Coturnix japonica: one gene and its partner. The protein of the gene in region 1 binds, or shares a complex with, the protein of each later gene. Links are inferred from orthologs where the notes say so. Each region holds a gene or a part of one and is shown on either strand. Other genes may lie near its edges. The genes, in order: TNKS2 and SH3BP2.

Region 1 (4,549 bases):
TCTGAGAGGTACTCTGCCACGAGTTTCCCCAGCAGAAGACAGGCTCAGGGGGACCTGGCAATGCCCATTCCCCACCTGCACCACCTTGGGGGCTGCCTGAGGTCCACTGGGCCTGACCCACACCACCTCTCTGAACCCCATGATCTGAAGAGGAAAGGCAATGCGGTGCTTCAGGAAGTAACCTAAATTCTAGGTCTAAGCATGAAGGTGCTCTTTTGTTATTTATTCTGTGTTTCTCCAGTATTTTCAGCCCTGTTCGTCTAGCTGGTGTTAAAGGACACAAATCACAGCACTGCAGAGGAGCCATTGGGAAGCTCTGAGATGGTTTCAGGCCCACACACCATATCTGTGACAGTTTGTGCCAGAGCGTTATGGCCGCACGTGTAGCAGCAGATGAATTATGTGTGTGACAAGCTGAGGAGGAACAGTAGCCATGGCCTGACATTTTCCTGCCTACTGAGCACAGCTTGCATGGGGAAGAAAGCCAATGGAATGACACGAGGCTGTTTGTCACAGTGTGTGCTTGCTGTCTCTGTGCTGGCTGCATCCTCTGGTCACAGTTCTGTTGGCTGCGTGCCTATTTCTGGGTTAAATGACACAGCCAGGGGCACTGGACCTTGACCTGTTCCTGCAGCACAGTTGTGGCCTGGGCAGCTGGTACTCTCCCCATAAAAAATCCTAGGTGCAATTTAGACCTTAGCAGGGACAGGCAGTTTGGGCTTAGCTACCTTATTGCAGAGTGGAGTGGTGTTTAACAGAATGGAAGTGACTGAATGGCACAGATTAGCAGCTAGATCCCTTTCCTGGCTCTCGGGCAGTCTAATTTACTGCTGTAACAATAGCCTGCAAGTTCAGTGAGTTTGGAGGCATTTATCCTTCCTGCCTGTGGAACAGGAAGCTCCTGGCCCCTATCAACTACCTTTTCCAAAGTGTTTTTGAAAGATTATAGCACGAGTGGAAAAATACATTTCAAAATTACCAAATTAATCCTATTCTAGTTAGTCCCATCTAAGCTCAGACTTCCCCATCAGGCTTGTTAGGATTAAAAGAAAAAGATTCTCTCCATTCTTCTTCAAATCCTTGAACTGGCAGTCATAGAATCACAGTAATATAATATAATCATATAATTTAATCATATAATAGCTTGAATTGGAAATGACCTCAAAACCCTCGCAGCTCTAACCCCTGCTGTGGGCTGGGTCAGGGCCCCATCCAGCCCATTGCTGGGGCACACACAGCTCGCTGGGCAGCAGTGCCAGGGCCTCACTCCCTCCCTCTTTTTTTTCAGGATAAAGCAAACAGTTTAATTTCTATCATTCCCATTTCCTAAGTATGCAAACACGTATTTTTGAGTAACATGTTTTGATATGTAAATAACTACTTTAGGATTTTTTATTTTAATTGCATCAGGAAGTTCTTAGCACCAGAATGCTTAACGTTTCTGGGGAGGGGGAAAAAAAAAGTCCTTTATTAGCACATCCTAATGGATAATTCATTAAGTAGCACGGGATCGCTTCTACAGCTGTGGAACCACAGACCACCCTCATCCCGCAGCAGCAGCCCGGCCCCGCGGCTCCGCTCCGCCTCCCGACCCCACGTGTGCCGCATGCGCGCCGTGTCCGGCCGACCCCTTCCTGGCTGCATCGAGGCAGCTGCTGGCTGCGGTATCGCGGCCGTTCCGCCTGGATCCCTCCGCCGCGATGCGCCGGGCCCAGCGCCCTGCACAGCGCCCTGCACAGCGGAGCGAGTCCGGGGCTGCCGCCGCGCGGGGCCGCGGGCTGTGAGCGGGTCAGCGAGGGCCGCTCGGCCGGCTCCGTGGGGCTCGGCCCGGCATGGCGGCGCGGCGGTGCGCGGGCGGCGCGGCCGCCTTGGCCGAGGCTCCGGGCTGCGGCGCGGCGGTGGAGCCCGCCCGGGAGCTGTTCGAGGCCTGCAGGAACGGGGACGTGGAGCGGGTCAAGCGGCTGGTGCGGCCCGAGAACGTGAACAGCCGCGACACGGCGGGCAGGAAGTCCAGCCCGCTGCACTTCGCCGCAGGTACGGCCTACGGCCGCGCTGCCGAGTCTGCGGCGCCGGGGGAGGGCCGAGGGTGGCCGGGCCGCGCATCGCCGCCTCCCCGAAGCGCCGAGCACGTTCGGGCCGGGCGGTGGGGCGGCCTAAGGCCGTAGTCGCTGCTGTGGGGGCGAGGCCTTGTCCCCGCTGTCCGGCTGCCGGGCTCGGTGGGGCCGGAGGCCTCTCGCGTTTCACGAGTAAATGAAACGGCCCGGCCGTGGGGCTGCAGCACCGAGTGATGGCTCTGCAGCACCGAGTGATGGCTCTGCAGCACCGAGTGATGGCTCTGCAGCGGCCTGTGGGCTCGGTCAGCTCCGAGTGTCCCCGTAGTGCTCCTAGTCCCTCTGCAGCCCAGCTCGCTGAGCCTTTCTCCCACGGATGGTGCCCGACCGACAGCACGGTTCCGAAGTTGTTTTTTTTTTTTGCATTTGTGTCGTTAACAAATAGACTTTGTTAATTTGGCACTTAGGCAAATAGCTGACATCACAGAACAACTGCTGTCTCTGGTGGCTGGCCGGAAGACTGTATACCACCTTTTCAGACAAAGACACGATTGTGGCTGTTGTTTTCGTGTTGTTTCTCTGGTTGGATTGCAGCCTTAGCGGCAGGGCCCTGGGGTAGGCAAGGGGCAGCAGCTTTCAGCTAGAAAGTGCGTATAACTAATAACGAAGTTTGTTCCCCCAGTGAATTATTTTAGAAGAGGTTTCTAATTAATATGTCATTTTCTCTCATTCAGTAGCTTTAATGGATTTGAGTTCCTGAGAGCTACTTTTTCAGGACAGCTGTGATTTGCAGATTTAGGAAACTCGATCAGCAGGAAAGCCCAGGGGACAACATAAAGCATCCTGTCAGAGGAAGGGAGTTTTGCAGCTATTTTTTCATAAACCCCAGCCCTGCCTCATAGCTCATAAACTTCTAAATAAATGAGACTGTTTAACAGCATTTTGTAGATGTGGGTTGTTAGGTTGCTTGTTGGTTGGTTTTTATTGCTTATTTTTGTTTTGTGCCTGAGGGCATAGGCAGTGACCTAGTTTGCCTCTCTGGACAGGGCTGATCTGTCTTGGCTTTATAAACCAGAACTTCTAACTTACTGAAAACTTCTTTTTTTTTCATTAAATAGGCAAAGAAAGGCAAAAGTGTGAGTAAGTGCTTTTGTCCTTGCTTCTATCCCTTTCAATCTGAATGCAGAGAATTTAAATGTGTTTCTCATAGGACTGTAGGATGTACAAAAAGTTTCTGGCTAAGGCAGGATGTAAAATGCACGTGTAATGTCTTGATGCAATGCGCTTCCACTGCTTCAGATGGGCTGACAGCAAAAAGGGCTCTACCTGCAGTAGGCTCAGCTTGCAAGTTGGCCATAAGCAGCTCCTTGGGTTGGAGGTTAGGAATATTTTTGTTTGTTTTGCTTTTTCCATGTTATTTTCAGTTTGAGTAATACCAGCTTCTTTTGTCTCTGTTGCCTGAAGGAATTACATTCCAGGAAGCAAAAGCAAAAGTCTTGTATTCTGGCTTTGTTTAGCCCAGGTTCATGTTCTTAGAAAAAATGTTACAAAACTTCTCTGACTAGTTTCATTCACTTACGAGGCTTTGTTTTGTGAAGAGGTGGCGCTGAAACATGAAGATCGTTTTTGTGTTGCCATTTTTCTCTTTCAGGGACACTCTGGGTCCTGAACCCGGTTCCTTTTTCTTTTCCTTTAAATATCAATGTAACAGAAAAAGGAAACAAACTAACGCAAATGCTCTTTTTTTTTTTTTTTTTTTTCTTTTCTCTCTGTGTCCTGAGTAGTAGCTCTGCTGCTTTGCAGTAAGAAATGAAGTGTGCTGGTGGGACCAGCTATCTTGCATTGCTTTGAGCTGCAATAATATTTAGTTGGTCTTCTGATGGAAACTTGAGAGCTAAAAAGAAAAGCTTTAGAATAGATGAATATTGAAGCCATTCTTGCAGCAGTGGGCTACTAGCAAAGGGGGAGTCACTGCGGAGTGTGTGCCAGTAAGGGCTGTGTTCCTTGAGCATGCAATAGGAATAAGAAAGGTGATTGCACAGAGCCTGACCCCCTCCTCTGCACACGTACTCCCATAGGAAATGCTTCAGTATGCTGTGCCTTCTGGTAGGGATGCTCCCACAAGGCTGTGGGGAGCCCCTGCAGCACACTTTGTGCTGAAACCAAGTTCCAGAAGCTGGTCTGATGCAGATGATCCTCTGTCTCCACTCTACCATAACGGTGGGTGGTTTGGGGGTGTTGTTATCCCCCCAGTAGGGGCGTATTTCCCAGCTGGGCTGGCTTTGCCCTGAGAGAAGCTGATGTAGGAACTGTGTTTGATTGAACCCACATACTGACTGGAGGGCCACAGAGTGAATTCTCTACACCTATAGTGAGGCTTGCCACAGCTCACTAGCTGTACTGGTATGGATTGACGCTCACATTGGTTTTCTGTGTTCAGAACTGTGAGCACACGGCAAAGTTTTGATGGACAGTGATGCCTTCTATGCAAGAATGAG
Region 2 (3,482 bases), on another chromosome or scaffold:
GGATGTCAGATCGCTGTTTCTTAGTCATACCTTAAGCACTTCAGGTGACAAATTAACCAATGAAAGGCATAGGTATCAAATCTTGAGAGGCATTTAGGGTGAAAAGAGCCTAGTAACAGCAGTAACAGTTTCTGGAGGGTCTGCTGCCCTGAAGGACCTGCATGTGGTCACCAGTCTGGAGGAGGGGGTAATGCTTTTTCAGTAGTCTTTTTCCCTTTATTTCCAACATTGGGTATTTTCTTTGTGCAGATATGGTCCTGCCCCCAGCCTACCCACCACCACCGGTCCCTCATGTCCGAAAAGCTGCCTACTCAGAGTCAAGGTCACATTCCTTTAGTGGAAAAACTGCTGGGTCAGCACCACCACCACCACCTCCAAAAAGGAGCTTACCTGAGATCAAGTCAGATGATTTCTTCGGTGTGAGAGAGCCCCAGTTACAATGCCGAGCTGAACCTAACCTAAAGATTCAGTCTTCCAGCCGAAGACCAAGTGAACAGCCACCTCCTGTACCCCCATTACCTCTTTTCAAGAAGCCTTTTTGTGTCAAAGAACCTTCCTCACTGCCTCCGGAACCTCTCCCTCTATCTCACGTTCTCACTACTCCAGAAGGATGCGAGAAGCTAAAATCCTTAAACCTTTCACCACGGACTCCTCCTCCACTGCCGAGCAATAAACCCAAGTTGTCCCAGATAACTGAAAAAACAGTAGAAACCAAAGTGCCAAGAGAACATGGGAAACCGGGACTGTTTGTGCCACCAGTGCTTCCAAAGCCACCCGTGCCAGGCCACCAGCATCCTGTACCTAAACCTAGACCAGAGAAGCCTCCGTGTCCCCAGTTACAGTAAGTGTGAAAATACGTCCCAGTATCAAATAAACCTTTATGTCAGAAAGTCAGTGAACCTCAAAAAATGATTTTAGACCTCTATGGAGACAGGAAATGGTTAAGATCAGCTTTATGAAGGGAGGTGCAACTAGCTGTGCTGTTTAGGCAGCTGGAAATGTTTTTGTCTGCTGGATTGTGCAGCTTTAGAGAAGGAATGAAAAACTCTTTAAATGCCGTACAAGGAAGAGAGATTGATTGATTCATGGAAGTGAGTCCATCCACCAAGATGTTCGGGCACATGATACGTGAGGAGAGGCTGAGAGATTTGGGTTAGTTCAGCCTTTAGGAAGGCTAATGGAAGATGTCACTGCACTCTATTGGGAAGGCTAGTTGAAGGTGTTACTGCTGTCTACAGCTACTCATTGGCAAGGCAGGGAGATTACAGAACAAAAGATCTGCAGTGATAGGGCAAGAGGCAACAGACAGAATTCGTGACCTTGGAAATTACAGTTAGTTATAAGTTGTAATTTCACCTTGTGGATGATCAACTCAGAGAGGCTGTGGAATCTCCGTCCTTGGTGATACTCAACCAGACACAGCTGCCTGGGCTGTTTGGACCTGCTGTGTGCAGGAGCTTGGGCTAAATCATCTACAGCTGTCCCTTTCAAGCTACATTGTTCTGTGATTCTTGATGTTCCAGTTTTATTACCGTTTCAGTGCTTGGTATATTTGTTCTGTTTTCATTGGAGATATCCTTCAGTTTTTGTTCTGTTTCTGCCAGGAGATCACCACCAGATGGGCAGAGTTTTAGAAGCTTCTCATTTGAAAAACCAGCGCTGCCCTCCAAGCCAAATCAAGTGAATGATGATTCTGATGATGACTATGAAAAAGTAAGAGCAAACAGATGATATATATTTTTTAAAAGACCATTTTTCCTGCTTTCTCTATAGGAGAGCTCTGGGACATGATTGGGGGTGAGAGGGGAGAAGGGGGTGGGGGGGAAAAGAACCTTCTGAAAATGCAGCTCTTTGTGATTTGTAGATTTAAGGAATGCCTTTATTAATTCTGGATTGTAGTCATTGGTATACAGGAGGAAGAAATGTCAAGTTCAGATTAAAACATTATTAACAAATTCAGATATCAGCAGCTGTAGCTTGTTTGGATACCATGTTAGTATTTTGTGTTTTCATTGTCCTTCATGGTCACTTAATTTCTTTGTATTTTTCTACAGGTTGAGTTGCCTACTTCAATATTTCTTAATACCTCTGAATCCTTAGAAGTTGAAAGGTAGATGTGGCTTTCAAGTTACTTAAAATCCTATAAGTATCTGTGTTGAACAGTAGTTTAAAATCATTTTGAGATATATAATTTGTGTTTAAAAACATGGTGATATATTTGAATCACTCTGCTTTCCAGCAGAGATAGTTCAGTGCTTGTGTATCAGTTGAGAAAACATAGTACTTATAAAATGATCCTACCCCCTCTGGAAATTATTGTTCTGCCAGGATGCTAAGGGGACAGATCTTCTGTGACACATCACTGATTGATATGCTAGAACAGTAAAATTCTGTCTAATATGATGTAATATAAATTATTACAACTGAAACAGATTTGTAACGAAGAATTGGCAGCAGTGTGCCCTTGTGGCTAAAAAGGGTAGTGTTATCCTGGGGTGCATTAAGAGGAGCGTGGCCAGCGGGTTGAGGGAGGTGATGGTCTGCTCCTACTCTGCCCTGCTGAGTCCACATCTGGAGTGCTGTGTCCAGTTCTGGGCTCCCCAGTTGAAGAAGATGCTTTCCTGTGCAACCTACTTTAGTAAGGTGGGGGTGACTGGACTAGATGATCTCCAGTGGTCCCTTCCTGCTCCTATAATTCTGTGATTACAAGAAGCTACATGTTAATGTTTCCTGGATCAGATAAGTAACATATGTCAATATTGCACTGTTTTTATTTTAGGATATTTAAAGCTACTAGCCCAAAGGGACAGCCACAGAATGGATTATACTGCATTAGGAACTCATCTACTAAGGCTGGAAAGGTAACTTGCAATTGCAGAATCTACCCCTACAAAAACCTTCAGGATTTAGTGATGCTGTATTTTTACATGTTAAAAGTACTTAGATCTTCTTGCTTATTGTTAAGTACTGAAACAATTGCTATTATATCTTCAGTGATTTTTTTAATAGGCCAGTCAGCTGGTTGTAAATAATTCCTTAATTATACACTGACTTCGAGTTTATTAGTGTAAACTGATTTTTGTTGCACTTTTCGTTGTTAAGGTATTAGTTGTATGGGATCAATCTGCAGAAAAAGTGAGAAACTACAGAATATTTGAAAAGGTGAGTGGCTCTCCTGTATATGAAGCTTTTGTATATGTTTACATCTGTATGATATTGTGTATACATATAATGTGCAGGTATATGCGTATGTATCACAGTTAACAAGTCAAACTTACCCCAGCCCTAAAAGTAAATGTAAGCTGCTTTACAGGTATTTGTTCCAGAATGAGAATTTAAGTGATCAGATCTGGGCTTCTTGATTGCTGTACTGTACAAAAGACAAAGTGGCTGCAAATGTCCAAATCTAAATATCAGCCCCAGTTCCATTCTAGGGGAAGGACTATGAAGCTCTTGAGTTTAATTTGGACTTATTTGTCTAA

What was found.
Region 2: the proteins of TNKS2 (region 1) and SH3BP2 are in contact, whole or in part, in a crystal structure (PDB 3TWR), measured with the Homo sapiens proteins. The link is inferred for Coturnix japonica from reciprocal best matches to the Homo sapiens genes TNKS2 and SH3BP2. Residues at the interface, in NP_079511.1 of Homo sapiens: Arg525, Ser527, His531, Phe532, Gly535, Tyr536, Asn537, Arg538, Leu560, Asn565, Ser568, Tyr569, His571, Asp589, Trp591, Phe593, Glu598, Lys604; in NP_001116153.1 of Homo sapiens: Leu413, Gln414, Arg415, Ser416, Pro417, Pro418, Asp419, Gly420, Gln421, Ser422, Arg424.

What each region holds. Positions count from the first base shown.
Region 1 is NC_029521.1:17,299,838-17,304,386, forward strand, and holds the start of TNKS2 (poly [ADP-ribose] polymerase tankyrase-2), read left to right. Parts: upstream 1-1,621; 5' UTR 1,622-1,832; coding exon 1,833-2,034; intron 2,035-4,549. UniProt on the Homo sapiens protein: Poly-ADP-ribosyltransferase involved in various processes such as Wnt signaling pathway, telomere length and vesicle trafficking.
Region 2 is NC_029519.1:74,760,166-74,763,647, reverse strand, and holds part of SH3BP2 (SH3 domain-binding protein 2), read left to right. Parts: intron 1-249; coding exon 250-841; intron 842-1,604; coding exon 1,605-1,713; intron 1,714-2,054; coding exon 2,055-2,110; intron 2,111-2,779; coding exon 2,780-2,861; intron 2,862-3,102; coding exon 3,103-3,162; intron 3,163-3,482. UniProt on the Homo sapiens protein: Binds differentially to the SH3 domains of certain proteins of signal transduction pathways. Binds to phosphatidylinositols; linking the hemopoietic tyrosine kinase fes to the cytoplasmic membrane in a phosphorylation dependent mechanism.